Nothobranchius furzeri: one gene and its partners. The protein of the gene in region 4 interacts with the protein of the main gene of each other region in a pairwise test. Links are inferred from orthologs where the notes say so. Each region holds a gene or a part of one and is shown on either strand. Other genes may lie near its edges. The genes, in order: atf2, KAT8 regulatory NSL complex subunit 1, CAP-Gly domain-containing linker protein 4, kifc3, stx11a, leng1 and zgpat.

Region 1 (4,163 bases), on a different chromosome or scaffold from region 4:
CACTGTAGCTCATATAAAGGCTAGCAATTAGATTTTTCAATTTGCCGACCATTAGGGTTCAGCGATGGGATGAATTATTCGACCATCGGCGACGGGCTGAGCTGTTATGGTTGTTTTTATAAGAAGCAATTTGTTCATTTATTTGTTTGACCAAGCGTAAGTTTGTTAATGACAGATATTTTACACGTTACGCACAGAGAACATCGCGGAGATAAAAAAAAGAAAAGATCTCCATCAACAAAACATCTGAGCATTATCTTTCACCTTCTCCGCCTCTCGCTGCTGACAGTGTCCGCAAGCGGCACGCTGAAGAGGAGCTGGGAGAGCGTCTGTGACGCACTCGACATTGTGCGCAAGAGCGCACTGTCAAGTGGAAGCCCTTCTATCTTTCATAGTCAGGTAGACTTCTGGTTATTTTATTTGGAGAAATGTTTCCTCATTTTAAAACTGTGGCTTAAGTAGTGCTCGTTATTCAGCACCCGCTTCAAGTGTGTCAGCATAGTGAGGATTAATCCAGAACAACATTTAAACAGCCACGAGTCTGAGGCAAACGTCCAGAACCTCATAACCTCTTCAGCAAGCATCATGCAGATATTGGATTACGCACAAGCTGCAGGTGACCAGTTCAGGTTTACGTGGAGCAGAAGGAATGTGCGTTTGGGGCTGCAGCAAGTGAAATGTTCCTAATTTAAGTGAAATTATTTATTTGTATTATATGTTACTGGGGCACTCAGATCAGCTTGTTTGGATTACATTTTAATTAAGAATGAATGGAAATTGAATGATTATTATTTAAAAAATGAAATTTGTCTGCATACACTCCATTCTGCAATCACACATGGGTAAAAATAAAAGGTTATAGGTGATGATGTTACACATGACTATTACCAGAGTTATTTTACTATATATTCTATTCACACTATTGTTTGGGTTATGAGGGTATGTTTTCCATGTAAACAAACTGATGTTCACATTTCACTTTAACATTTCTTTAGTAAAAGAAATAGCTTCTGGAGATACACACAACCACACACACCTGCTCTCAAAATTCACCCTCTGATGAACGACAAAAAGCTATAAGTTTAATATAAACCTAACAACATGGCTGCATGTTCAAATGATCATACATATACTGCTGTGATGGCTATTTCAGTGCCCACGATCATTTTAACAATTTTGTCAGATTTTGAGGATATAAGAATGGAAGTTTTTTTTTTTTGACAAGTGTTTTGGTAAAGCTTTTATGCATTGAGTCATGAATCAATTAGATAAAACTCTTACATCAAACTTAAGTCATATTTTGCGAAATAACCTTGAACAATGATGCTTCAAAGAGTCTTTTATCAGTTTAATTTCAAAGAAGTTCTCAAAATCGGATTGCTTACCTGTCCACACCCAGGAGCAGTGCATTGGAAGGGTTTGTCATCACTCATATTAAGGAGTTCCTGTAACTTCTCCCTAAAATAATACAAAAAACACTTTTAACCTGAACATCTGCATTATATATATATATATATATTTTTTTTTAATGAACTGATGATCTATGAAGATGCAGAGCAACTCTTCCTATAATAAATATTTCTACTCCGATTCAGAGATGATAATATGTAAACACATGCTGGTTTAGTTATGATAAAAGTTAAAACTCCAGCTGGGGTCAGGTGAACGTTTTGGACAAAGACCATCGATAAGGGGCGGTTTCTGTAGTTGTTTACACCTCGGTGCTCTTATAAAAAACGTTTAGATACACTGCTCCAGACAAAGCACGGAGATATGTTTTAAGAGAACCGCATGTCTATTTTTACATATATCACAAAACAACTAAAGAATATATTTACAGCTAAAAGGATGAGCTACAATCCAGTCGCTTCCATGAATTAGCCTGAGCCTTGCGTTAACATAACCGTCGCCATATTTGAACACGCACGTAACGCTGTAAACAAAAGAGCTGTCAACTACTATTTCGGCTCCTGTTTTGTTACACCAAACAGAAACAGCTCACATTGCCACAAATTAGGTATATTTACCAAAGATTCGTACACAGTCGCTAGCGGTTTGAGTTGACACCTACCCCTTAGCCACAACCCTTGATTTCCAAAATCCCACGTTTTTTTCCCCAAGTATCGCGATAACAGATATTCGTTAAATGCCACATCCACAAACGATTGGGGATAATTCATTGGAGTCAAAAAAAGTATGAGAAAATAAATTACGGACCAATGTTATAAACTATTCTAACATAACGTAACTCAATTGTTTTTAGAGGAAAACAAAAACTAATATAGTCTTAAAGCGCTTAGCACACATAATTTGCATATTCAAGCAGACTGCCTTCTTCACACAAATGTAAACTTTAAAAAAATCAAATGCTAGGAGTGATGTATAAGCTCTTACAATTTAGATGTATTTAATGTTACAGAAACGCTTCAATTTGTTTGTAGCAATGATTGCTAGGCAATCCACCCACTTGAGATCCCTTGTGATTCTGTACCAGGCAGTCATCAACTTACCAGCTGCAGACAGATCTGTTTGAAGAATAAAGGCAGACATTCTTTAAAGTGATTCTTTTGAAGTCAGTGTTTAAATTGCACCTGTCTAAAGGTCAATTTAAAATATTCATGTGCCACTCATCTTTAACCCAACATAATTCTATTCTGTCAAAAAAATGAAAGGAAGCCTTTAAGTTTTGCATACAATGATAAAATTTAAAAGATCTGACAGCCAAAGCTTTCATTTAAAGTATTGGCCAATTACTTAATTCTTCCTGTGGGGAAAAAAAACAAACATTTAACACAAGTAAATCATTTGGATTTATTCAGTGCCATTACCATGCCGTTAGATCTCACTTGCTGCACAATTACACACCTATTTAACTGCAGCTTAATGACAAAATAATTCACGTGGACCCCAAAAAGCTCAGAAAACAAGGCTGATTCACTGAAAAGATGACATTCATGAAAGTCAACCCCTTCCTGTTGTGTTGGGTGATGTTTTGGACACAAGCTTCTGCAATCTTGAATAGTCAAAAACATGTATTTTATTCACGTAAGATGTTACATTTGTACAATACATGTTTTGCTGTTTTTGACAGTGTCTGAGAGACTTGAAAAATGTACATTTCTATGACACCAACAAGGAACAATTTTGGTAGCCACAATAAAATATGTAGTCACATCTGTAATTAAAGTGTTGTGGGGCAGTTTTACATAGCAAACAGGATAAGGAAAGCAACCATCAAACAGAAGAGTCCCATAGCTTCAGACAGGGCAAATCCCAGGATGGCATAGGAGAAGAGCTGCTGCTTCAGTGATGGGTTCCTGAGAACAAGAAATTGTTGGTGAATCCAAACAGAAATTGTAAAATTGTTTTAACAATAAATATTTGAAATAATTCAAACAAACCTGGCATAACCAATGATGAGACTACCGAACACAGTCCCAATTCCAGCACCGGACCCAGCGACTCCAACCGTGGCAGCTCCAGCACCAATGAACTTGGCAGCAGTGTCAATGTCCCTGCTGATGGCGCTGGTCTGGAAGCCTCTCAGTGTGACCTGAGTGAGGGGACTTGGTGGCATCACAGAAACAGAGCTCTGCAGCAAAAAAAAAAAAAAAAAAAAAAAAAAAAAGAAGAATAAAAACTTTAACATCACAAGAACCAAATGTGACAATTAGAAACTAAATCTTTGAATACATAAGAGCTAGTCCTCAGACAAAGTTATTACAAGTTACTAAGGCTTTCTAGTTAAAACCCTGTCCATTAGGGCTTCAGACACAGTGCCGATAAAATATAAACTTCAATTGCAATGCTGTGGTTTCAAAAAAAATAATGAGGGTGTGGAAAACATGCTTTCATACCTCTGTTTTAGCTTCAGGCCTGGACAGCACAGAAGCTGACAGGGGTCTGTAAAGAGCCCGGGAACCAGCACGGACCTGCATTAACAATGGACACAAGATTAAACACTTAGCATTGCTTGGATCAAGCTTCACATAGAAGGGTGTGTATTTTAAGTGCCACTCAAGAACACTTTAAGCACACACCGACATAGAAAACTGTGTAAATTAGTCAGAAATTGCACAATATTGATAGATGGGCCGCATGCTGATTGCAGGGTCTCATACTCTTATGTCTGCCACTGGTTAACATGACCTTGGAAGCAGTCA
Region 2 (4,089 bases), on a different chromosome or scaffold from region 4:
GATGTAGACGCTGATGAGAAGGAAGGTGATTTTGTCCTATCTTGAGTTTTTGTCATGAGAAACTATGGAGGTCTCATCACTGACTCTAGAGAAGATCGTTTCCTCCAGGTCACAAGAAACTTCTTCAGAAGCATTGCAGTGTTTGTTATCAATTTGTTATTTTTGTTTGATCTTGAACTACGCTAGTGTGAGCAGCTGAGACTGCTGTTTAAAATGGTTTTATGCATGTTTAAATAAAATCATGAAAGAAGTTTATTTATTTCTGTGTTCAGTAACCCAGTTTCCACAAGGATTTTGGCATTTGTACCACTTGTTCCACAGCTCCAGGACTTAGACCAAAACCAGTAGTTTCCACCTTTAGAAAGAAATTGTTACAGGTCTGTTGAAACCAAATCCAGAATAATGAAAGTTCCTTTGGAGATCAGCTACAATATTCCTTCCAATGTCAATGTTTTTTTTACCTCCAGGTATCCTTCACCTGCAGGTGAGATTCATTAAGTTTCAGAACTGTTCCTCCCTCAGTTTTTAGACCTTCAGGTACTGTGTCATAAACCAATAATAATAATATTAATACGGTAATAATCATCATCATTATCATCATCAATGTTTGTTGTTTTGACTTAAGTTCGTGTTCCATTCATTGTAATTTTGTAAACAAGCCAGCAGACTTCATAACTAAGTTAGTTCTGGTCTTCCCCAGAAGTACCACTGCAGGTCTGATGAGTTCCTGTCCATCCTCTGGCTCTTGGTTTAACGTGTGCAGGACAACATTTAGCCAAAACTGTCCTCCAGTGAACAACTGGTGCCATTTGTGTCTCGTGGCCTGCTTTAGGGGGACAGCTCCCAGACCGGCCGAATCTCAGCCCAGCAGGACGATGGGCTAAGATGCGATGAACTGGATGAAACGAAACGTGTTGATTAAACTCGTGAGTTGCGAAAAGCGTGGTCTCTGTTTATCTGATATGAAGCCTTGAGCCCAATTCTGAGCCAAGTCTCTAAAACAGCAACACAACGAAGAGTGTAGTTCTGAGTGAAAACATCAGCTGGGCTGGGAGCAGCTAGCATGTCTGCGATGGAACAACACAGTGACCAGGGCAAATGAAAAGCAGTCGGCCGGTAAAGACACGGGAGTTGTGAGACTCGGGCTGTAATTCTTAAATTAAAACAATTTTAGACAATTAAGTTTCGTGATATGAACTTTCATATACATTTCCGCTGTACGGGCATTTGCTAAGACTGACAGCTGCCGGAACCAATAGAAAGTCTGAAAATAAACCGTCAACCAATCGCAGCGCAGAAGGCGGGGCTTATTGGTGGTTTGTAACAGGACAAGCAGGTAAGTAAGATACTCGTTATTTTTTTAAAAACAACGAACAGTTTGCTTGTCAGGAAAAACTCTCTTCTAGTTAAACGCGCGGTTGTTTTATTTAAGTTTGATTATTTTTTACTGTTGAATTTTATGTTAAACGTATAAATTAAATTGCAGTCATTGAGAATTCTGGTACATCGGGAAGCAAACAAGCTAACGCGTATTAGCATCTGTAACGTTAGCTTTTCATAGTCTTTTTGACTGAGCTTAAATGTATCATCAAAAATCACAGGTAATTCGTTCCGTTACTCTCTACTCTTTAAAGATACATTTCTTGACATATTACCATCATATTTCCACCCTCTGTGTTGGTGTTGGTCAGCATGTAAAACTTTTAGTTTTCATAAATTTGTAACGTTAATGTGGTTAGCTCGCTAGCTTTAGCTCGTCAGCTGAAAATATCGGAATACTCAACAACAGTTTAAAAGTTACCTGTGCTGGAAGCTTCTGATGTAAAGTCACAACTTTAACCATTAGTTGGCCACGTGAATAATTATTCATAAATGAAATGTTTAAAATTAATCACCGTGCATCATTTCGTTCAGTTTAATGAAACATTAAAAAATAAACTAAACCAAAAATTTATTGGACCATAACATTAAATAAATAACCACAATACAAGACATAGAGTAAACTGTACTGTTGCACTAATTTAATTGTAAATTTTTTTAGTTGATGTAAGTTATAAAAAATTGATTTACCACCACTGTCTATGAAAGCAACCAACGCTGGTGTTACACCGTGATCCCACAGGGGGCGCTGTAACGAACACATTCAGACTGGGTCTGAGAGAAACAAGTAAAGCAAACGAACAACAACAGTTTTAGGTTCAGACTGAAACAGGGAGCCGAAAACGACTAAAAACATGTTCAGATTCAGTTTCAACTGCAAAAACAGCTCAGATTCAGATACAAAACTGACACAGTAATCAGAGCTCCACTGGTTGTTGTGGAAGTTATTTCTCTGTCATTTCCTAACACATTTGCTGCATCTGGCGTTCATCATTATTATTTACGTGTTTAAGAACGCGTTTTAATTACAAATTCTACTTTTACAGTAGCAGAATTGATGTGAGTCTTGATTGAGCACTGGAGCAGGTGCTGACATCTAGTGGTCAGGTTGGAAATCGTGGAAATTCGGTCAAAACCAGGATAAAAAATATTAAACTGTGTATGTTCTGCCTTCACCAACTTAGGTATTTATGCAGCTTCTCTATTTTTGATCATGTTGAATCAAAGGCTTTTTTTCCTATTTTAAATTACACATATAATAATAATAATAATGAAATGGTTTAAATGAATGAATCACTGAATGACTGATTTAAAAATGATAGTCCTAAACATGTAGTTTATAACTTTCCTTTTATGTTGGTGAAATAATTCCTCTCTTGAGGAACAAATACAACAAGTCAGTTGTTCCCAACCTGGGGCCAGTGAACTCAGAACTGTTGGTTTAGTTAGGTGTAACACGCCAGACAACATCCTTAACTATTTGCTATAAAACTAATGAAGGTGTCTGCTGTGGTCGGTACAGCCTGGTGGTTTATTTCAGGGCCTTTGAGTTGTGCCAAAGCATTTTTAACTCGGTTTAATTTGTCATCAAGAAGCTTAGTTTGGAATATTTCCTGGAGACAGTAGATTGTGACCGCTGTGAAGGCTTGTCTTTACCTTTATTATTTATTACTATTATTAATTATTATGAAATAAGATGTTTTTGATTATCTGTTTTACTAACTTTTTTATTTATTTATTTTTTTTAGGATTTTTGTGTTGTATCTGGATTCATGGCGTATTGGACTACCAAGTGGAGCATTTCATCAATGGAGCTAAAGGTATTCCTTGAGTGCATTAATGTTTTAGCCCTCTTATTTTTACCTGAGGTCAAGGATCGTCTTCTCCAGTTGCCGTCCCTGAATTCCTGCGGACATTGTGGAGAAGATGTGGCCAAAATAACCTCTCTGGGCCTCCAGAACCCAGTACACCGTTGTCTCATTGATTCAAGCTATTAAACTGATATCCGTTTGGAGAGATTTAAGGCAGCTCAGATGGAAAACTAAACCACAGGAAGTTTGGGGAACACCTTGGGTTCCATCAGGAGTAACACATGGAACACTCTGGAAGCAGACACAAAGCTGGATGGGTGGAGTTAAACGTCATTAAGTCATTTCAGCTGTCTGAATACCTGAGACGTCCTAGCACACATTTGTAGCTTTTTCCCTGTGATGTAACTAGCATCACTTCTACCATCAGACGATAGCGCTTGTTCCTACTCAGACCTTTCCCATGCGATTTATTTTCTCACATTTTAAGAAGACATGTTGACAGGCAACTGAATCATCTCCTTCCTTAGACGAACCTTCAACACAGGAAGTGATGAACTGCCGTTTTTTTAAAAACAAGATAAACACTTGAACAAAAGCTTTAGTTCCATGTATTTATTCCAGGTATCGTGTGAGTAAACAATGTGTTCTAGCTTATATTTTCCATAAATAGTACCAGTCTGAGAGGTTAATTGAGCTGCAGGTTTGATGTTTAATGATTGGTACCATGTGCTGTAGCTCTCCTTCATGTGGTCAGACTGCAGCTGTGGTGGTGGTTGATCTGGATCCTGTTTAGGGTCACATCAGAGACCTGGATCCGTCTTGTCCCGTCTCCTGAGGGAAGGAGACTCAAGTGAAGTGCTTATAATCCTGATTAATCCACTCATTAGAATATCACCAT
Region 3 (3,500 bases), on a different chromosome or scaffold from region 4:
CCTGCAGCAGCCTGGCGAGCCGCACTATACCGATCGGTCACGAGCCACAGAAACGAGTCTCCGGTTGACTTTGAAACCGTGCTAAGACCAGTCAGAGCAAACTCATAACTGCAGCTTCTTTCCTGCTTAGGTCTATGTTCTAGATGCTGTTTAGACGTGATTTGTGAGCTTCTCCCCCTCAACGCCTCACTTTAGTTTGTAACTGAATCTCTTCCTGTTGAAGCACTTTGGTGCAGACCTGATCGATTAGCCTCAGAGCGTTGCTGCTAAAGGCCTGTGAAGGTCTGTGGAAGGTAAAGGCTTAATGAGGTCCTGCACCTGATGGCTTAAGAGGGAATTCGTCGTCTTTCTCCATCTTTTCTCCCATTCTGTTGGAGGGGAGGGCTTAATGTGTCGGACCTCTGGCTGATGCTAGTAGCTGTTGAGTTTTGTTCACTTTCAGGTGTCTCTGTAGGAATTCAGTCTGAGCCTCTACGTCCACAGGTGTCCTCTCCCGCTCCCTGTCCTCTTCGTCGTCTTCACTGGACTCTCAGCATGGCCGGGGCGCCCGACCCCGCCCTCTACCGAGGCAGCGTCTCTCCACCAGGCAGCGCAGGGAGAATATTTCTCCTAATCCCAGGACAACCCCGTCACCGGTGCTGCGCTCCTCGTCTCGCCCCACGGCTGCAGGTGCTGCTGAGTCCAGCTCTGATTCGTCACGTCGATGATCTAGATAAAGTCTCTGATTCCTCTCTCCTCGCAGGTTTCAGGAGTAGAACCCCGTCGGGGAGCAGCTCGGTGTTTGACGGTTCTGAGGTCCGGCTGGGGGAGAGAGTGCTGGTGGCGGGAGAGAGAACCGGAGTGGTTCAGTTCTGTGGGAACACCAACTTTGCTCCTGGTCAGTTCTACAGTTTATGATTCTGCAGATGAAATAAAATGTGAAGGTTTATTTGTTATCAGTGAATCACAGCTGGACAAAATACTCCTAGACTCACTCGGCTAAAACCGAAGAAAAAAAAAACTCCCTTAGGACTTTTATCATTTGACAGAAACAAATGGATGTTACTAAATAGTTAAACAGATGTTTTTTCTTTTTTCCCCCACATATACTAAATCTGACCTGTTTAAATCACAAATTATAATCTAGCAGAGGTGGTTCATTTTGTTTTATCACATCCAAATTAAAAGTATAGAGACTTGTAGCCTCTTGAAGGACTCTTGGAGCTCCTTGGGGAAGTCTTAGACCTCCTGAAAAAGTTTTGGAGCTCTGGGAGGAGTCTTGAAGCCCTCTAGGGGAGTCGTGTACCCCCTTGAAGAGTCTTGGAGCTCCTGGAGAACTCTTGGAGCCCCTTAGAGGAGTCTTGGAGCCCCATGAAGGACTCTTTGAGCTGGGGGAGTTTTAGACCTCCTGGAGGAGTCTTGGAGCCCCTTGAAGGACTCTTGGATTCCCTTTAAGGACTCTTGGAGATCCTGGAGAAGTCTTGGACCTCCTGGAAAAGCTTTGGAGCTCCAGGAGGAGTCCTGAAGCCCTCTAGGAGACTCTTGGACCCCCTTGAAGGAGTCTTTGAGCTCCTGGAGGACTTCTTGAGGCCCTGGAGGAGTCTTGGGGCCCCTTTAAGGACTCTTTGAGCTCCTGGAGGACTCTTGGAGCTCCTGGAGGAGTCTTGGAGCCTCTTGAAGGACTCTTCGACCTCCTGGAGGACTCTTGGAGCCCCTTGAAGGACTCTTGGAGCTCCTGGAGGAGTCTTGGAGCCCCTTAGAGGAGCCTTGGAGCCCCTTGAAGGACTCTTGTAGCTTCTGGGGGAGTTTTAGACCTCCTGGAGGACTCTTGAATCCCATTGAAGGACTCTTGGAGCCCCTTGAAGGACTCTTCAACCTCTTGGAGGAGTCTTGGAGCCCCTTGAAGGACTCTTTGACCTCCTGGATGACTCTTGGAGCCTCTCTAAGGACATTTAGAGATCCTGGAGGACTCTTGGACCTCTTGAAAAAGTTTTAGAGCTACGGGAGGACTCTTGAAGCCCTTTGAAGGACTCTTGGAGCTCCTGGAGTCGTCAGCCTCCTGGAGGAGCCTTGGAGCTACTGAGTCTGAAGCTGCTGAACTTGTTTGTGCAGGAGTCTGGTTGGGAGTTGAACTGGACAAGCCGAGTGGTAAAAACGACGGGTCTGTTGGAGGTGTGAGATACTTCAGCTGCCCTCCCAAACATGGCGTCTTTGCCCCCCCGTCGAGAGTTCAAAGGTGAGGGTTGACTCTTTTAGAAGAAACATTGAAGTGAATTCTTACGGCTGGGTTTCTGTGACGACTGACATGTCTGTCTGCTGATAACCGGAGTTATGAGACGGGACGCTTTGGGGCGTTCCCTCAGCACGTCTCCTCCGCTTAATGTGACACTTTGTAATGAGCCAGATGCTAAAACTTCTGCTTTCAATGAAAATAATGGAAGATCAATATGTACACAGCAGGCTGCCAATAAAATGTGTCAGGGAAGATGTTTGGATAAAATGATGCACGGATGAAGTTATTCTAATCCAGATTAGTGCGCAGGTTTGTTCTTGACATCCTCCTGGTCACAGATTTAGAGGATCATGTGGTCTGGGTTATCTTAGACTTATATAGTTTCAGTTGTTCAGATCCTCCTGAGCTTAGGTCTCTTGCGGGGTACCACAGGGATCAGTACTTGGAGCTCTGCTTGTTTCTTTATGCATACATCTTCTCGGCTGTATTTTTAACACCCTGGTCAGATGAGGTCAGTTTGTTTAGTGGCAGTAGGACCTCGTCTTTGCTTTTTGTGGATGATGTCATCTTAGCGCCGTCAAACTGTGACTTTCAACTTAAGAGAAGTTCACACCCAACCATGGAGTGGATGGGATGAGGATTAGCACGTCATATTTCCGTGCCACGATTCTCGACCGGAAAAGGGAGGATAGCCAACTCGGGGTCAGTGACGTGGAGGAGGTAAAGCACCTCAGGGTCTTGTTCACGGGGGAAGGAGGGAGTGAAATCAACAGGCGGATCAGGGAGACGCCGGTCTGATGTGGTGAAGAAAGGGAGCTAAGCCCGAAAGCAAAGATCTCAGTTTACTGGGAAATCTTAGTTCCTAATTTCACATCTGGTTGAGAGCTTTGGGCTTGACTGAACGATCCACATCATGAATACAAGCGGCTGATAAGTTTCCTCCGTCGGGTGGTCGAGGTCAGAGACGGGGTGCGGAGCTCGGAGATCCGAGAGACTTGAGTAGAGCCGCTGCTCCCTCACGACGAGAAGAGCCAGCTGAGGGTTTTCAGGAATTTCCTGCTGGCGGGAGGCCCCCTAAGTCACAAAAAGGACTTCTCTGTGATTGGTTGACTCTAAAAACAGGACAGAGGGGATGTCTTTTATCTGTAGGTTCTGGTTTCTTTATCTGCTGAACAGGATAAAACACGATTTCACTCTGAAGGATAAACCAGATCATCTGTTGTCTTTCTTTGTAGGAAATCTAATAAACACAAACGTCTCAGTAGAGAAGGACAAAACCACATAAGTT
Region 4 (3,500 bases):
ACCTTTGGGGATTCTCCTACATCAGCATGGTGTGAAATTCCATCTATATGCTGACAACTGTCAGATGTATCTCCTCCTTTGGCGGGGAACTGGTGGATCAATTTCTACGAAGGCCAATCTGTTTCAAAATGCACAAACTTTTACCTGTTGTGTGTGTTTGTACAACATGATGTGCAACATGACCATCAAACATGAAACACTTCTCAACCTTTTTTTTTTTTTTTTTTTTGACTGGGAGAACGTGTCGGGATTTGTGTGTTACACAGCACAGAGTTCTTAAAGTTGTGAAAGCAAACATGGCTGGAATCTCACAGTATTCACTCACGGTGGTGACAGAGGAGTCTAGTGCCCATCTTGGAACTGGAGGGTTGCTGGGTTGAGCCCCACTCTGTCTGTCACAGTCGTGTCTTTAAGCACCACCTGGTGGTGGTCAGAGGGACCGGTGGCGCCAGTGTTTGGCAGCCTCACATCCATCAGTGCGTCCTTTCATTTCTAAAGCCTTGTGAGATGAACTTGAATTAAAAGGTTTGGATGTGAGACCTGATTTCCTGTGTTCTGGTCTAGGAAAGCTTAACCTGGTGGATCTGGCAGGCTCTGAGCGGATCGGGAAGTCTGGAGCAGAGGGCAGTCGGCTCAGAGAGGCTCAGTGCATCAACAAGTCGCTTTCTGCTCTCGGTGATGTCATCAGCGCGCTACGAGGAAAATACTCCCACGTTCCCTTCAGGAACTCCCGCCTCACCTACCTGCTGCAGGACTCTCTGAGCGGTGACAGCAAAACTCTGATGATGGTCCAGGTGAGACCTGGTGAAGTCCAGAAACTAGTCTTTGTTCCTTCCTGCTGTCTCATGCCTGCCATTCCTGCAGGTTTCTCCGTTGCCTGGCAACATGAGTGAGTCGGTGTGCTCGCTGAAGTTTGCTCAGCGTGTTCGCAGCGTCGAGCTAAACTCTTCCTCTAGGCGGCACGAGAACTCGTCCACCTCTTCCTCACCCACTCACAACAGTGTGGAGGTAACTCTAAGCTCCGCCCAGCTGGTCAGGGCTGAGACGTTCACATTTTTTTGGTATCTTCAAAATAAAAGTAGACTAAACAGTGTGAAGTCTTATATTACAGTCAGATGCACGACGGTTTTAATAAATCTGCTGTAATGGAGCCATACGTGAGGCTCCTGGGCTGGACACTAACCCAGGTCTAGGAGGTGGCCAAGCTTGCTCTCCATCTACATTTTGATGCCTGTTGATAAGACCTTGTCGTAGAAGATTCAGTCCAAAATAGTGCTGAACAATTTTAAGAAAAGGATTAAATAGAGATTTTTTAGCTGCATGTTTATGCGATTTTGTCCTGCCGTTACCCAAATTCATGGCCTTGGGTGAAGGTTGGGATAAAGGTCGTCCAGTACCGTATTTTCCGGAGTATAAGTCGCACCAGCCATAAAATGTATAATGAGGAAGAAAAAAAAACATATATGTCGCATTTTGGGGGGAAATTTTATTATTTTTCTTACGAAATCTGAGACCAAGCGTTTCACATCGCAAGACAGGTACCGGTAACAATAACAGAATAAACAATCAGGGCGCAGCAGCGCGCCACGGTCTCCAGCAGAGGATGGCGGTGTTTCAAACCCTCCCAGCGGGGCAGGGGAGCTGAAACCTGGACCGGAGCCGGACCGGAGCAGCGCGGTATACACTGATGTATAGTATAAGTCGCAGGACCAGCCAGACTATGGAAAAAGTGTGACTTATAGTCCGGAAAATACGGTAAGTTAAGAGCCTGGCTGTTTGGCTCGGCTCCTCTTCACACCTACAGACGAGTTCAGCCTGTCCAATTCCCGTTTACTCAGTCGTGAACAAGACCCAGAGATACTTAAGCTCCTCCACTTGTGGTAGAGTCTCTTGTCCGACCTGAAGCTGGCCATTCACCCTTTTCCAACGAGACAAAGACCATGTTCATTATTGCTCTAAAGGGTTCCCGTTGACTGAAACTGCAGATGTGTATTTTCATCCCAAGAACCAGAGCAGGGTTAGGGAACAGGTTCCTGCTGCTCTTCTCTAATCTGTGAGTCTGGATTAGCCATCGTGTTTTCATTTAACTGAGGGCTACAGCCATTAACAACATTTACATTCATATAAAAATAAACTTTGGATATTTGATTCCCCGTCAGATCACTTGTGCTATTTGACCTCTGACCTCTCACCAGCTGGACTCTCCCCCTGTGACGCCGGTCCCCCTCCCCATTTCTAGGGCCAGCAGTGCTGGGTCCACACTGTCTTCCACCTCCAGAACTCCCAGCAGCTCCCGCAGGAGGTCCCAGTCCCAGCTGTCCACAGGTACACACACACACACACACACACACACATTCCCCTACACACACACACACAGACATAAAGGTTTACGCTTTGTTCCTCAGCAGCAGCAGTGCATTCTGGGAGACGAAGCTGTCCAGCTGATGGAGTCCCGCTGTCAGTCTGTCCATCTTCCTCTGTGTCCTCCTCATTCTGTGCTCTGATTGGTTGCTTTTCAGACAGACAGGTTGACGGAAGCAGCCCGTTGTTGGGGGACGGTGGGCAGGTAGGTGAGGGTCTGTGTGCTGATTGGACCGTTTGGCATGAACGCTCAGCATGGCATGCCCCGCCCGCCACCTCCCCTCGTGTTTGTGTGCCTGTAGGCCTGTGGCAGGGCCCACTGAACCCTTGGGTCCAGACGACCTCAGGTTCTGGCCCTTATGAGCGCTGAAACACCTGGAGGTTGTTTAGAGCTCATGTTGTTCCCCCTACCCTTCCCACCACCTGCTGAGGATTATGGGATGGTTGTTTTTATTTTAGCTCTTGGTCTTAAAACACACGAGCTGCAAATGTATTTATTGGTTACTATGGTAACAGTGCTCGTGTTGGCAGAAATTAGGAGGTTAAAGATGAACATGAGCTGCAGGTGGATTCACTTCCTGTTTGGTTAGGGTAAATACCAGCTGTACGCTGCAGGTTTGAGCCTAATGGCTTCCTGTAGCCGAGGGCGCTGCAGATGTTAGTTAAACCTGGACTGAAGGATCTGGCGGAACAACTGAGTCTGCGGTCTGGTTCAGCTGTGGTTCTGATTAATGTTCTCAAAACGTCCACTGGGCTGCTGATTTCAGCTCCGGGCTGGTCCTAGCCAGAGTTCTGGTGACTGTGCTTTAAGGATCTGTGTTCTTCATAGTTTTATCTGGGAATCCCTGGGCTGAGACATTAGATCCCCCCCCCCCCCCCCAACCTATCCTAGGCCCGGGACAGACCTGTTTGTCCCTCCTCCTCATGAGCAGGCCTGCTCCTGCCTCCAGACTCCTGACCAATCAGCAGACTGAACCTTCTCACCTGCTTTTAGTTCAGCGTTTTGTGTGAAAAGTTGAACCTGAAACAAGCTGCAAGATCAAACTGATCAGCTGATTTTGACCAGAACCCCCTGCTGGCTGTGATGTCATGTGTTTGGTCATGTGACTACAGCAAGTGGACGGACTGACTAAAGGTGT
Region 5 (4,089 bases), on a different chromosome or scaffold from region 4:
AGGGATTTGTTTTTTTTTCTTTTCTTTTTTTTCTTCAAAACTTTATTGAACAAGGTGATAAGTATACAAACAAATTGCATACAAAATTGAACAAAGAAGATGAAACATATGCCAGGGGGTGCACTACAGAAATGTTACACACATCCAAATAAATTACAGGTGGTGCAAATAGTTATAGTTTTTAAAGCTTTTTTGTTTAGTGATCCACTAATCAATTTTATGCAAGATAGAGTGTCACTATAATAGTGCTTGAAATTAGGTTTTTGGTTACTATACTTGCATTTGTGGAGATAGAATTTAGCTAGATTAACAAATTTATAACAAAGTATACATCTTCCTTTCTCTGCTTGCGAAAAAAATACAGCATTTTCCCATTTTAAAACGAAGTCCTTGCAGAGCTGTCCGATAATAAATCTGCTAAAGTCTTTCCAAAACGTTGTAGCATGTGAACAGATCCAGAAGAGGTGGGATTTGTTGTTTTATTTGGTTGTGGAGAGTAAAGATTTTCTGTCCTCTGCTGGAAACAAGTGGGTACTGCAGCGTTCAATACAGCGTTTAGTCCAATTTACAGGAAAGCCAGAGCGTCTTCACTTATATAAACTACTAAAACGCAATAAATCAATTTTAGTTATCTGTGTTCAACTCGATTAAATCAAGGAGCTGCAGCAGGAGCTAAAAGCAGCTAGCCACAGCACAGCAAATAGAGCAGATCTACCGCCCTCTGGCGGCCACAGGGCGAAACTACACGGCAGAAGGGTTTGTTTTTTGGCAATGTAAAACAGTTACGAAATTTTACCAAACTAATCAAACATGTCAGATATAAAAATATTGGTTATGAGTTCAACAGAACAATAAGCACCCAATTGCATCTAATAAACACTCAAACATTGATACATAGATTTTTTAAGGTCCTTTTTTTGTTTCAAACAGGAAAAGCATTACGTCTTTGGATTTCACAATGAATGTATGAAATACTCAAATAAATAAAATAAAAACAAATACTAATAAAAAACGCATGCTAAAAAGCTACTGAAAATCTGAGTAAATCACAACAGCTGATTTAATTTGATGAATTTGTTTATTCAGAAAAATGATATATGCAATCAATTATAATTACGTAACGTCATTTTAACATTTCTAAATCACCCTTATTCACAATACATTTTAAGTAAAAGCTTTGAGTTCAGGAAGAACTTCCATTCGGACCCCTTTGATGGAAGTTCTTCCTGAACTCAAAGCAGGGTTTGATCTTCCGCGTAGTTGGTCTCGCGGCGTCAGGAGGCTGGTGACACTCACACCTCTTTACTCAGACTGTGGTTGATGTTGGTGAAATGTCTAAATGTAACCGAGACACAAAGAGGAAACGGGTCTTTCTTTTCTTCTGTTTCTAAGGAGAGTTCTCTTTAGGAGGGCACCGCCATAAGGTACGTTTACTTCTCTGGTTTTATCGCCTCAAGTAACCTGGCGTAGTTTACAAGACTCCTCTTAGTTTCTTCGTTTACCTCCTCCCATCAGATCACTAGATGCTTATTCGTTTCTGTTTTGTTCATAAATACTTGAAATAGTTTGAAGTAGCTACACAATGTGAGTAGCATGTGGAGGACAGATGAGACTAACTAGCAGCTGAAAGCGTCACAATCTGAGGAAGTAACAGAGCAGTTTCCTTTTGTAGACATTACCGCCTGAAATTATTTCTAAACCATCAGTTTATTTATTTATTTAATTATTCATTCATAACCAGAGAAGCGTCCACACCTATTTTATCTTATCGCAACTCAATCAAAACTAATTAAAGTGAGAGCAGTAGCAGCTTTATGACGAGATAAGTATAATAAGAGTTGAATGGTTTTTAATTAGGTGTGTTTATATGGTTGATCATCATTTCTGTAACCAGGAAGAATTTGGTCGAGTCCAAAATGCATAAAGATAAAAATGAGACATTTTTGAATGATTGCCCCACTTTTATTGTTTCCAAAAATAAAATGGTCCATATTACGTCACAGCCAGTGAGTAACAGCAGCAAAAAGCTGATTCTAAATGTGTCATAGCAGCTTATAAGAGTTTAATTAGGATCTGTGTTTTCTAGGAGGGCTCTGGTCCAGCTTGTTGTCCGAAGGCCACCTCTGGTTTAATGCACCAAATAAGACTAAATGTTACCACATTTCTCGGATCACTTTGAAGATCTTACATAATTTCGAGGAAGCTTAAAAGCCCGTCTCGTGTTGATAATCATGGCCACATGATGATCAGCACTGTTCCTCTTTTCTGCAGCGTTATTATTTCCTGACAACCTGAGGAACCTCCTAAGATGCTGCTTAAAAGAGTGTTGTGTCAGATATCTGGAGTCAGTCTGAAAGCAGATCTTGTTTTTATTGTACTCTATTACTCTCCTCGTCTCTTAAGTTACTCAGAAGACAAAACTGCAAACTGGGCCTCAAAGATCTTTGTCTTTTGGAGATATGTCCAGCTTCCGCTCATCTCAGAGCGACGGAACATTTCATATATTTTAGAAAATAACAGATCGAACTGACTCTTGCTGCAGGTGAAATGAAGGACCGACTATCTGAGCTGAAAACCGTCACCCCGGAGCCTGCTGAGGAGGAGCTTAACACAGTCTTTGAGGATGAGGAGGTCGCAGAGTCACTGGCCATCGTGTTTCAAGGTGAAGATGTGATGGACGGCATCTACAAAGATGCCCAGATGATGAGGAAGGAGCTGCAGCTGCTGAAAATTGACGTGAAGCGTCTGGCGAAGCAGAACACGCGGTTCCTCACGTCCGTCAGGAGGTTTAGCAGCATCAAGCGGGACTCTAACGCGCTCGGCCGGGACATCAAAGCCAGGGGGGAGGCCATCTACGCCCAGCTGGAGAAGCTTGGAAAGCTGAGCAAAAAGCTTGGAGAGGAACACGGCTTCACGTCGGCTCTGTCTCGTATGGTGCGCTCACAGTACACTTCTCTGACTCGGGCCTTCCACGAGGCCATGTCTGAGTACAACGAGGCCGAAATGATCCAGAGGGAAAACTGTAAGACCCGCATTCAGAGGCAGGCGGAGATCATGGGCAAGGAGGTGACCAGGGAGCAGCTGGACGAGATGATCGAGAGCGGGAAGTGGAACGTCTTCTCGGATAATCTCCTTTTGGAGGGGAGGACTACCAGATCTGCTCTGAGCGAGATAGAGAGCAGACACAAGGAGCTGCTGGAGCTGGAGGGTCGCATCAGAGACATCCACGAGCTCTTCTCCCAGATGGCTCAGCTGGTGGAGGAGCAGGGCTGCATGCTGGACAACATAGAAGCAAACGTCTGCTCTACTCAGGACTACGTTGCCAAGGCAACGGTTCAAATCACACAGGCTAAAGAATACAGTGAAAACAACCCATGCAAGAAACTCTTCTGCTGCTGCTTCCCGTGCTGTAAATGATTCTTGGTCAGATTTAAACTGGAACTCTTTATAATTTTCCTTTTACGGGGTCAGCGTCAGACATCTCACTTCATTTTCACGTACTGTGCTGGTCTGAGAAGGAGGAAGAGTCATTTCAAACCGCGCTGTTCACATACAAATGCATTCAGTTGTAATCGAGTTGTTGCATTTCCTGATCGTAACTGATTATTACTTTCTGCAGCACCCACATGACTCCACGTCTCATCAAAGATATGTCATTGCAGCTTTTTATGTCGGGTAATGCATGTTTCATTCAGTAAAACTTGATTTATTTCTAAATTACTGCTTTGGAATGAAACGGCGACCATTAAAATGGGAGAAAAAAAAACAAAAGCTGGAGCTGACGTTGCTGCAGCTGTTGGCCAACAAGTGTGTAGAAACACAAATATTAGTGGTTAGCTGGGAGATAAGCTGCGTTCGTGTTGAACAACAAGCCTCGTTTTGCTCCAGCTTTATGCCGGAGCTTTTGTTGCTTCATATGAGATTAGCTCCAGCGTCTGGAGTCTGATTGGTGTCATGTTACATCCACACAAGCTTTTCTCTCAGGCGTGTACCTGAATCAGTGTCAGTACAAACACTCAGAGCCAGAGCAGGGGACTTCCTGTTGGTACCAGAGTTCTTTGGTAATCTGGATTTTTTCTCAGATTAGGG
Region 6 (4,217 bases), on a different chromosome or scaffold from region 4:
CTGCAAGAAGGTGAAGAATTTAACATAAAACTTGTTTTTTTCCCTCTCACATACATTATAATTATTTGTATTAGTGATGATATTGTGTTTGCGTGTCCACAGATCACACTCTTCCACAACTGTCGGCCAGCGCTGAAGACGTTTCGGTCCACCACCTCCACCTTCTTTTTCCTGGTGGTGCTTCTGTTTGGCTGGACGTTGGCCCTGGTTGTTATGATTTACAGCCTTGCTGTGTGAGTGCTGACTGCTGCAGATTTATCCTTAATATTTCCAACAAAACAGCGTTTTAGAAAGTCAGAACAGTCAGGGCATCACTAAACACTTTAAGAAGGATTCTTTCCACCTCTCCAAACAGGATCAACCCTTCGATGGCGTGTGGGCCTTTCCGCTTCTTCCCCTCCATGTGGAAGATTGTTCCAAACTCTTTCTACTGTCTCTCTAAAGTTACACAGGATTTTCTCTTCTTCATTGGCTCACAGGCATTTTCCATACCTCTTTTTGCTTTATCATGGTGAGTGTGCATTTGTGAAATATTTATTATTTATTAGATTTAATCTACAGATTATCACAGTGCCTTTTTTCCTCTCTGCCAGCGTGATTATGTGCTATTTTGTAGCATTAGCTTCCATCTATGGAAAAAGTGTTGAGATGCTCAAAGCTCAGCTTAAGTTGGTATGTTGTTCCTACTTACAAAGATCAAGGATCATTTGTATAATATCCTCAGTGGTAGCTAATATTGTCCAATGTCATGTCTTTGATTTTCAGGAGGGTCAAGATAAGCAGTTTTTGGTCAAACAGATTGAAAGACTAAAGCTGCAACATCTGATGCCAGCACTAAGAGCAGAAGTACAAGACTGAACACAACCGATGACCACGTTTAGTTTTTCTGACCTAAATAATGAAGTAACTAATATGTCTTCTGGGGGGGAGAAATCTCATTAATCCAGACTAGATCTCATTTGACAATTACTATATTCATTTACAGCGTTTCTGTTGTGAAGCTGAAACAATAAGAGAATTTGTTATTTAAAGTCAGTATAATTTTGATTGTTGTTCTAAACATTAGTGTTGAATTAATAAACATGCACAGAATTTATTTATGATTTTGAGAGGCTATTTTTCTTTTGTATAAAACAACCTCGGGTGCAGAATCACCAAAAATGCTAACAAGAAAGAGCATGCATTTCACAAAATGCTACATTCCAAAGCCAACATATACTTTACCTTTTTGTCCTTTCATAATGAGTACATTGTTTTTGACATCTTTTGGTTATAGCAAAAAATATATATATTTGGGACATACCGGTAAATATTTTTGTGGCACCTGTACAAATACCAGTAGAGTTTCAGCGCCCCCTGGTGTTACATATTGTAATTACATAACACGATTATTGTTTACTTCCTGTTTAACTCTACTACTTCCTGTGAGCGCAACAAACCAGAAGCTACTCCTCCGTTAGCTCGTCATTGATAGCATTTATTATATTTTAGGAAAGTAGTCAACTTAAATAGATAATGTGAGTGAGTAAGGTCCACGTTATTTTCTTCTGCGTCATCACAAAACATTGGCAAGTACTAGCGACCTTCCCTATTTAGCTTAATTTCCTAAAAAGAAAGAAAACAGCGACGCATATTTGATTGTTGGGCGTATTTGAAAAATTCTGCTTCTGTATTTAGACATTTTGTCGAATAACCTGCTTATTTCTACTATACACCAATATATTAACTGACCAGAGTGAGTGTTTTCTCTTGTCGTTAGCTTTCTAAGCTAGCTGACTGCTAATTGTCGGTCACCAAGGCAACCATGAACATCCTCCCGAAGAAGAGTTGGCACGTCCGCAACAAGGACAACATTGCGCGCGTGCGGAGGGATGAAGCCCAGGCAGCAGAAGAGGAGCGCGAGGCCAAGCGTCGCGTGGAGCGAGCAGAGCAAGAGGTAGTCCCCCTCTGGTGTTAGCATGGTCATTCATTAGTCTTCACTCTCTCTCTTTCTTAACATTTTTTTTGAATCACAATTGTCTATTTTTGCTCATTTTAAATATATTTTTAAACATTTTCTAAATGCTTTTTTATTTTTTTACATTTTTGTTTTTGTGAAGTGCCTCGTGATTTTTATCTTTAGAGGCACTATAGAAATTATATTTTCTTCTTCTTCTTAATAAGCGATATAAGTATCATTACTACTGTGGAAAATGTATTTGAGTGCAACACAACTGTAACGCATAGAAAAACCACAAATCAGCCGAATGTACAGGGTACCTGGCACTTTAATTGAAATATTTAAGAAATTAGTTCTGGAAAAATGATCAAAAGTAAACAAAAGAGTTTCACAGATTTTAATCCTGACCATTTAAAACTAAATAAATACAGAAATAAATGTCTTTTGGGGAGAAAGACAAAAGAACCAGTCACACGAAGGTCAGGTGGATGTTTGGAGTTTGGAAAAGTGTAGAAATGTTAAGGTTATAGATGTTAAACAATCTGAATGCCACATGTAGATTAAAACCGCAGCAATGATTTCAGTAATAAGAAAAACTGAAAACATTCTGAGCTTCGTCACGTTCTCTCTCCTCGTTGATTCTATCTAAACCGCTGCGTGCACATATGAGGCAAGAGCACTTTATCATGAGTAACTTTATTACAATAAAGAGCCACAACAATAGTACCACTGTCAAATGTCCCAGACGATACACATAATTCAAAGTTGTATAATTTAGCAAATAATCTGCTTTACACAGTGCTATTTAGGATTTAGTTGCTTTCAGCTTGTTGCAAAAGCTCAGTTAGGTCCTATGTCTTCAGCTGCATTTGCTTACAATCCAAAATAACTATTTATTATTTATATCTTTAGTTTATTCTAACAGCTTTTTGTTTCTACAGGCGCGTACAGAGTATCTGAGAAGGAAATCTCGAGCTGCTCTTCAGTCAGAAGGAGGAAGCAGAGATGATGATGATGAAAAGGAAGGTGGAGGAGGCTTGGAGCACCTCAACCTCTTCCCTTTGGAGGAGTCTTCAGAGAAGAAGGGGAACGAGGAGTATCTTAAAGAAAAGAAAGAGGAAAAGGTGACAGAAAAACCTTAATACATGTGTGGATTATTTATTTTTTGGGGTTTTATATTTGCTTCAGTAACACCTTTTCCAGGGTATCCGCGGGTCCTTAAAAAGTCTTAAATTAGCTTTTCCAAATTTAAGGCCTTAAAAATCCTTAAAAATGACAAATAATCCTTAAATACAGTTTCCAGAGGTCTTAAATTACCAAAGACCCAATAAACAAGATTCTTTTATTTCTATAAAATTTTCATGAATTTCTAGTTAGCGTTCAGCATTTTTGTGTACGATGTTGCCGTAAGCGGAACCGTACACGTTCAGTTGGTTGTGAAAGGGGGCTATTTTTAGATGAGCACGTTAGCTGGTTAAGCTAGTGGGAGCTTGCGCCATGGGGAAGGGCAAGTTTAATGGTAACTGGATGGCTAATCCCATGATCGCGGCGTGGTTAGCACCGGTTCCAGGCAATAGCTGGAAATTATAGCTTAAATGATAAATGACCCGCACTTGTATAGCGCCTGTCAGAGGAAGGACTCCAAAGCGCTTTACACCACAGTGTATCATTGATCCATTCACACACACATTCACACACTGGTGGTGATGAGCTACGATGTAGAGGCGAGGCTGCCGAGCACAGGCGCCACCGGTCCCTCCGACCACCACCAGCAGGCAAGGTGGGTTAAGAGTCTTGCCCAAGGACACAACAGCAGAATTCTCTGTCCGGAGCCAGGATCGAACCTGCAACCTTCCGATTACTGGACAACCCGCTCAACCTGTTGAGCTACCGCTGCCTTGCTTAAATAGCTTAAATTTGGTCAAAGTGGCCTTAAAAAAGGTCTTAAAAAGTCTTAAATTTGTCTCCCTTAAACCTGCAGATACCCTGTTTTCAAAAACCCCTTTGTTTAAATATAATCTGCATCTTCTCATCCAGGAGAAGCAGGAACGCGCCATCGGCCTACTGGTGTCTTTAGGACCCCAGCCAGGCTCTGAGGTGACTCCGTGGTACCTGAAGAGCAGCAAAGACAAAGAAAGTCAAGAGAAAGACAAAAAGAAGGGAATAAGTGAAGAGGAGAAAGAGAAGAAGGATCGGAGGCTGAAGAGTAGTTTGGATCCCCTGAACGAAATGAAGAAAGCTCTAGACGTGTTTGAACGAAAAGTACCTAAAAACAGGA
Region 7 (4,102 bases), on a different chromosome or scaffold from region 4:
TGAGAATCAGCTCCTCTAAATCTGAGACCATGGTCTTGATTCGGAAAAGGGTAGAATGCCTTCTCCGGGTCAGGGACGAGGTCCTGCCCCAAGTGGAAGTATCTCGGGGTCTTGTTCATGAGTGAGGGAAAACTGGAGCGTGAGATCGATAGGCGGATTGGTGCTGCATCTGCAGTGATGCGGGCGTTGTACCGGTCTGTCGTGGTGAAGAGAGAGCCGAGTCAGAAAGCAAAGCTCTCGATTTACCGGTCAATCTACGTTCCTACCCTCAACTATGGTCGTGAGCTTTGGGTAGTGACCGATAAAACGAGATCGCGGATCCAAGCGGCCGAAATGAGTTTTCTCAGAAAAGTGGCTGGGCTCTCCCTTAGAGATAGGGTGAGAAGATCAGTCATTCGGGAGGAGCTCGGAGTAGAGCCGCTGCTCTTCCACATTGAGAGGAGCCAGTTGAGGTGGCTCAGTCATCTGGTCAGGATGCCTCCTGGACATCTCCCTGGTGAGGTTTTCCGGGCACGTCCAACCGGGAGGAGACCTAAAGGTAGACCCAGGACACGGTGGAGGGACTATGGCTCTCACCTGGCCAGGGAACACCTTGGGATTCCCCTCGGAGGAGCTGGCCCAAGTGGCTGGGGAGAGGGAAGTCTGGGCCTCTTGCCTTAGGCTACTGCCCCTGCGACCCAACTCTGGATAAGCGGATGAAAATAGATGGATGGATGGATGGATATATGCAGCTGAAACAGGCCCAGTGTATCTCAAATTTGTCAATTTTTGACATTTTATATTAAATACCATCATTATGGTCAGTAATGGCCTGTTTTATAAAAGGTGTGGTAATGTGCGCGTCTTTGTTGTCCTTAATGGCATTTTTTTTAACTTACATTACGTGTTCACTTTATACTTTAAGCTGTTTTGCAACCAGTGCTTTTACTTGAGTAAAATGCTTGAAGTGAGACTTCTGCATTTCTGACCCCCTCTCCATTTTCAAATCTAAACTCTCCAAGACAGCATACTATTTATGAGTTAGTTTTATTGTTTTGCTTTCTGACTTTTGGCTCTGTAATTTCTGGGGATTTAATGAGTGATTTGTTTAGCTTGTTTTTAACTTGATTTCTATTATTTTTGTTGTAAAGTGACCTTGAGTTCCTTGAAAGATGCTTTAGATAAAACGTAATTCTTGTTAAACCCTATTATCTATTCTTCATTAGTAACGAATGTGATTGTTTTTGACACCTCTGATGAATGTAGAAACTATTTTAACCTTGCTGACTGACCACAGTTGTTTCTACTTTATTTTGAAAGGAAAACATTTTTACCGGAAGTGCTCTTGTTGTTCGCGTTTGCCGCTTTGACGTCATTCTGCTGTGTTTTGTGTCAACTTGCTTCTTTTTTGACATGAATAAAACAAGGATTTCCGCAGACGTGACCTCGTTTATTGCTGCAGTGGATGTCAGAGAGCTCGAGTAATCACTGAGGTAATGACACGACCTTTATATTCACCAGAGTTTATGGAAACACGGCTAGCAGCTAAAACAACCCATGCTAGCAGGATGGATGGGGAGGTTACTATGAAGAGCCTCATTCATTTAAATATAAATATATGCTTCACACAGAGAAAACGTCTGAAATTCTTGTTCTTTCTGTGTAATCCATCAAATATCTGGAAGTGTAGTCTTTGATCTGTTTGTACTATTAATGTATAAACATGTAATGACACTGTAGTTCCTCTGCACCTTTTGTTCATCTTCTTCATCTCTTGTTGGAGGCGGTTGATGCTGTCCCAGCTCGTGCCAAGCTGTCAGCATGGATGAAGAAAGCCTGGAGGCTGCCATCGCTGCCTATGGGGCCCAGCTGCAGCAGGTGGAGATGGCCCTGTCAGCTGGCCTGGACCCCAGCCAGCAGCCAGACCTGCTCAAGCTCAAAGAAGACCTCTGCCAGCTGATAGCGCTAACAGAAGCCAGCCTTTTATCTGTACAGAAAAGCCGGCTACTGTCCAGCCTAGAAGACAGCAACGGACCTCAGATGAACACCTCAGAGGCAGCGGCTGATTCCGGTGTCTTTGATGCTGAATTTGCTGCGTTTTACTCTGAACTAGGAGAAAGTTCTGGCAGCAGCTCTGATACCAGAGAGAAGGATAAGGACAGTGGGAGCGTGTATTATGAGGAGGAAGATGAGGAGGAAGATGATCTTAGTGGTACCAAAGTAAGGGCGCCTTACAGGACAACATGGGGGACGCTGGAGTATCACAATGCCATGGTGGTGGGGGCAGAACCGGCTGCTGATGGAGAGGAGGCACAAGTCAGGGTGCTCTACATCTACCCCACCCAAAAATCTATGAAGCCCTGTCCGTTCTACCTGGAAGACAAATGTCGCTTTCTGGATAACTGCAGGTAAAATCAAATCAAAGATGCTTTATTAATCCCAGAGGGAAATTAGAGTTTCAGTACACACAATTCAGAGATCAGACATACACGGGCAAGAGACATGACAAGAATTGGTGACTGTGGTCATTCGCAACCCTGAGTTAACAGAGATAAGAGGGTTACATGAGGATTGGTTCAGGTGGAGGAAAAAAAAGGCACTTCAGAGCTGCCCTCAAACATATATGCAACAGACTTCAGACAACACAACATAAGTGTCCACTAGGTGGGGTGGTGGGTTGGGACTATCTCCACTTCATTTCCTGCAGCCACGATAAGCAGCGCATGTCACCTCAGTGTGGATGGGGGGGGGGGGGGGGTGGGGGGGAAGCATTGAGGGTTGGAGGGTTGGAGGGTTGCAGTGACCCTGGAACGTTTCAGCGGCCTTCCCGCTGTCCCGCCCAGGCTGGGATAGGAGACAGAGTAGAGTTGCCATAGCGACGGCACATTCCACATATCTTCTGAGGGGGGGGGGGGAGTTTTCGTGGAGCCTTGCAGGCTCAAGGACACCAGATTCCGATTAGAAATTGTTTTGGGGCCAGACAGAGATAATTTCCTCTCTGTCTTACAATTTGTTGGTCCTCAACCTCTCAGAATCCCAATAATGGACGTTAATCTATCCCAATCCGTGCTGATTCGTCCACTCTCTCCTTGATGGCATCCATCTTTTGTGCCAAAGAATGAATCTCCGCCAAAGTCCCAAGCTTACGATTCATCTCGACAATTATTTGAGTCTGAATTCACTGCGGTGCAAACCATCTCTGAGCTCCGGGATCAGGCCAATATTCCTCGACAGCTCGTTAATTTTCCGGTAAGCCAAGTAGCCTCCAAGGCCAATGAGCAGGAAACCTGACACCAACACCACGAATATCCACACGTCTTCAGAGTCCTCCACAGACAGCTGGTCTGTCCCGGAGGGGCATCCGGGAGTCCCTTCTCCCGTTCTCGTCGTTGAAAAAATTGTATCAACCGCGTTGAGAGACCAGCTGACGAGATCCATTTTAGTGAATTTCAGTTTCCAGAAAATAATGCAGAAGCAGCCGTGCACCCAGCACACGCGGACAGACAAAGGCTTTGAGGATAAGATACGGAGGAGAGGAGAAGAAAAGCGTCTGCACCCTCCGAGAGCCGGAAGCAGAAACCAAACATCTGTTGCTTTTTTATTATTTGTGTTTTGTCACATTAATGTAAAGGACATTCACACACAAGTTTAGAAAATAATGTTCAATGTGTGTATTTTTTAAAATCTTCTCATCATTTTAGCATCTTTTATTTAGAAAAAAAATCTTCTGCACCTTTACATTTGTTGTTATTCTTTTGTTTTACCCGGATAAAACCGAATCGCTCCGAATGGGATTTTATTATCAGTCAGAGGAAAGTTGTGATAAATAACTGAATGGTTTTCTTACAGAAACTCGTCTCACTTTTGCAGGTTTTCTCACGGTGAAGTGGTGTTTGTGTCGGAGCTCAGAGACTTCTTGGAGTGCGACCTTGGTAACCTCGAAGAGGGTTCGTCCTGCTTGGCTCGGCACGAGGATGGTATCTGGTACCCCGCCAAAATAAAAGGTCTCTCAATCACATTTTGTTTTAATTTGTTAAATGTCATCTAAATGTAGTTTGATCACAATAATTATACATTTGAAATTATTATTTCCGTTTTCTCTCATCTTAGAACTTGACAGTGG

What was found.
Region 1: the proteins of kifc3 (region 4) and atf2 interact in binary tests that used the Homo sapiens proteins (3 or more experiments, as listed by UniProt). The two-hybrid records come from large-scale screens. The link is inferred for Nothobranchius furzeri from reciprocal best matches to the Homo sapiens genes KIFC3 and ATF2.
Region 2: the proteins of kifc3 (region 4) and KAT8 regulatory NSL complex subunit 1 interact in binary tests that used the Homo sapiens proteins (3 or more experiments, as listed by UniProt). The two-hybrid records come from large-scale screens. The link is inferred for Nothobranchius furzeri from reciprocal best matches to the Homo sapiens genes KIFC3 and KANSL1.
Region 3: the proteins of kifc3 (region 4) and CAP-Gly domain-containing linker protein 4 interact in binary tests that used the Homo sapiens proteins (3 or more experiments, as listed by UniProt). The two-hybrid records come from large-scale screens. The link is inferred for Nothobranchius furzeri from reciprocal best matches to the Homo sapiens genes KIFC3 and CLIP4.
Region 5: the proteins of kifc3 (region 4) and stx11a interact in binary tests that used the Homo sapiens proteins (3 or more experiments, as listed by UniProt). The link is inferred for Nothobranchius furzeri from reciprocal best matches to the Homo sapiens genes KIFC3 and STX11.
Region 6: the proteins of kifc3 (region 4) and leng1 interact in binary tests that used the Homo sapiens proteins (3 or more experiments, as listed by UniProt). The two-hybrid records come from large-scale screens. The link is inferred for Nothobranchius furzeri from reciprocal best matches to the Homo sapiens genes KIFC3 and LENG1.
Region 7: the proteins of kifc3 (region 4) and zgpat interact in binary tests that used the Homo sapiens proteins (3 or more experiments, as listed by UniProt). The two-hybrid records come from large-scale screens. The link is inferred for Nothobranchius furzeri from reciprocal best matches to the Homo sapiens genes KIFC3 and ZGPAT.

What each region holds. Positions count from the first base shown.
Region 1 is NC_091754.1:21,239,882-21,244,044, forward strand, and holds the start of atf2 (cyclic AMP-dependent transcription factor ATF-2), read right to left. Parts: upstream 2,801-4,163; 5' UTR 2,181-2,800; coding exon 2,041-2,180; exon of another isoform or gene 2,028-2,040; intron 2,007-2,027; exon of another isoform or gene 1,839-2,006; intron 1,459-1,838; coding exon 1,386-1,458; intron 1-1,385. Other genes in the region: atp5mc3a (ATP synthase membrane subunit c locus 3a), read right to left, coding at 3,203-3,317, 3,402-3,592, 3,858-3,932. UniProt on the Homo sapiens protein: Transcriptional activator which regulates the transcription of various genes, including those involved in anti-apoptosis, cell growth, and DNA damage response.
Region 2 is NC_091756.1:53,988,067-53,992,155, reverse strand, and holds the start of KAT8 regulatory NSL complex subunit 1, read left to right. Parts: upstream 1-1,289; 5' UTR 1,290-1,336; intron 1,337-3,128; 5' UTR 3,129-3,200; intron 3,201-4,089. UniProt on the Homo sapiens protein: Non-catalytic component of the NSL histone acetyltransferase complex, a multiprotein complex that mediates histone H4 acetylation at 'Lys-5'- and 'Lys-8' (H4K5ac and H4K8ac) at transcription start sites and promotes transcription initiation.
Region 3 is NC_091758.1:40,981,747-40,985,246, forward strand, and holds part of CAP-Gly domain-containing linker protein 4, read left to right. Parts: intron 1-483; coding exon 484-669; intron 670-742; coding exon 743-877; intron 878-2,091; coding exon 2,092-2,215; intron 2,216-3,500.
Region 4 is NC_091749.1:65,948,340-65,951,839, forward strand, and holds part of kifc3 (kinesin-like protein KIFC3), read left to right. Parts: intron 1-564; coding exon 565-794; intron 795-864; coding exon 865-1,008; intron 1,009-2,195; coding exon 2,196-2,325; intron 2,326-2,405; coding exon 2,406-2,566; intron 2,567-3,500. UniProt on the Homo sapiens protein: Minus-end microtubule-dependent motor protein. Involved in apically targeted transport. Required for zonula adherens maintenance.
Region 5 is NC_091758.1:20,330,248-20,334,336, forward strand, and holds stx11a (syntaxin-11a), read left to right. Parts: upstream 1-1,289; 5' UTR 1,290-1,424; intron 1,425-2,542; 5' UTR 2,543-2,547; coding exon 2,548-3,417; 3' UTR 3,418-3,794; downstream 3,795-4,089. UniProt on the Homo sapiens protein: SNARE that acts to regulate protein transport between late endosomes and the trans-Golgi network.
Region 6 is NC_091745.1:76,666,511-76,670,727, reverse strand, and holds the start of leng1 (leukocyte receptor cluster member 1), read left to right. Parts: upstream 1-1,417; 5' UTR 1,418-1,568; intron 1,569-1,759; 5' UTR 1,760-1,804; coding exon 1,805-1,936; intron 1,937-2,880; coding exon 2,881-3,063; intron 3,064-3,976; coding exon 3,977-4,217. Other genes in the region: voltage-gated chloride channel TMC4, read left to right, coding at 1-10, 103-233, 356-511, 594-672, 766-858.
Region 7 is NC_091755.1:51,598,479-51,602,580, reverse strand, and holds the start of zgpat (zinc finger CCCH-type with G patch domain-containing protein), read left to right. Parts: upstream 1-1,302; 5' UTR 1,303-1,472; intron 1,473-1,762; 5' UTR 1,763-1,800; coding exon 1,801-2,387; intron 2,388-3,849; coding exon 3,850-3,983; intron 3,984-4,089; coding exon 4,090-4,102. UniProt on the Homo sapiens protein: Transcription repressor that specifically binds the 5'-GGAG[GA]A[GA]A-3' consensus sequence. Represses transcription by recruiting the chromatin multiprotein complex NuRD to target promoters.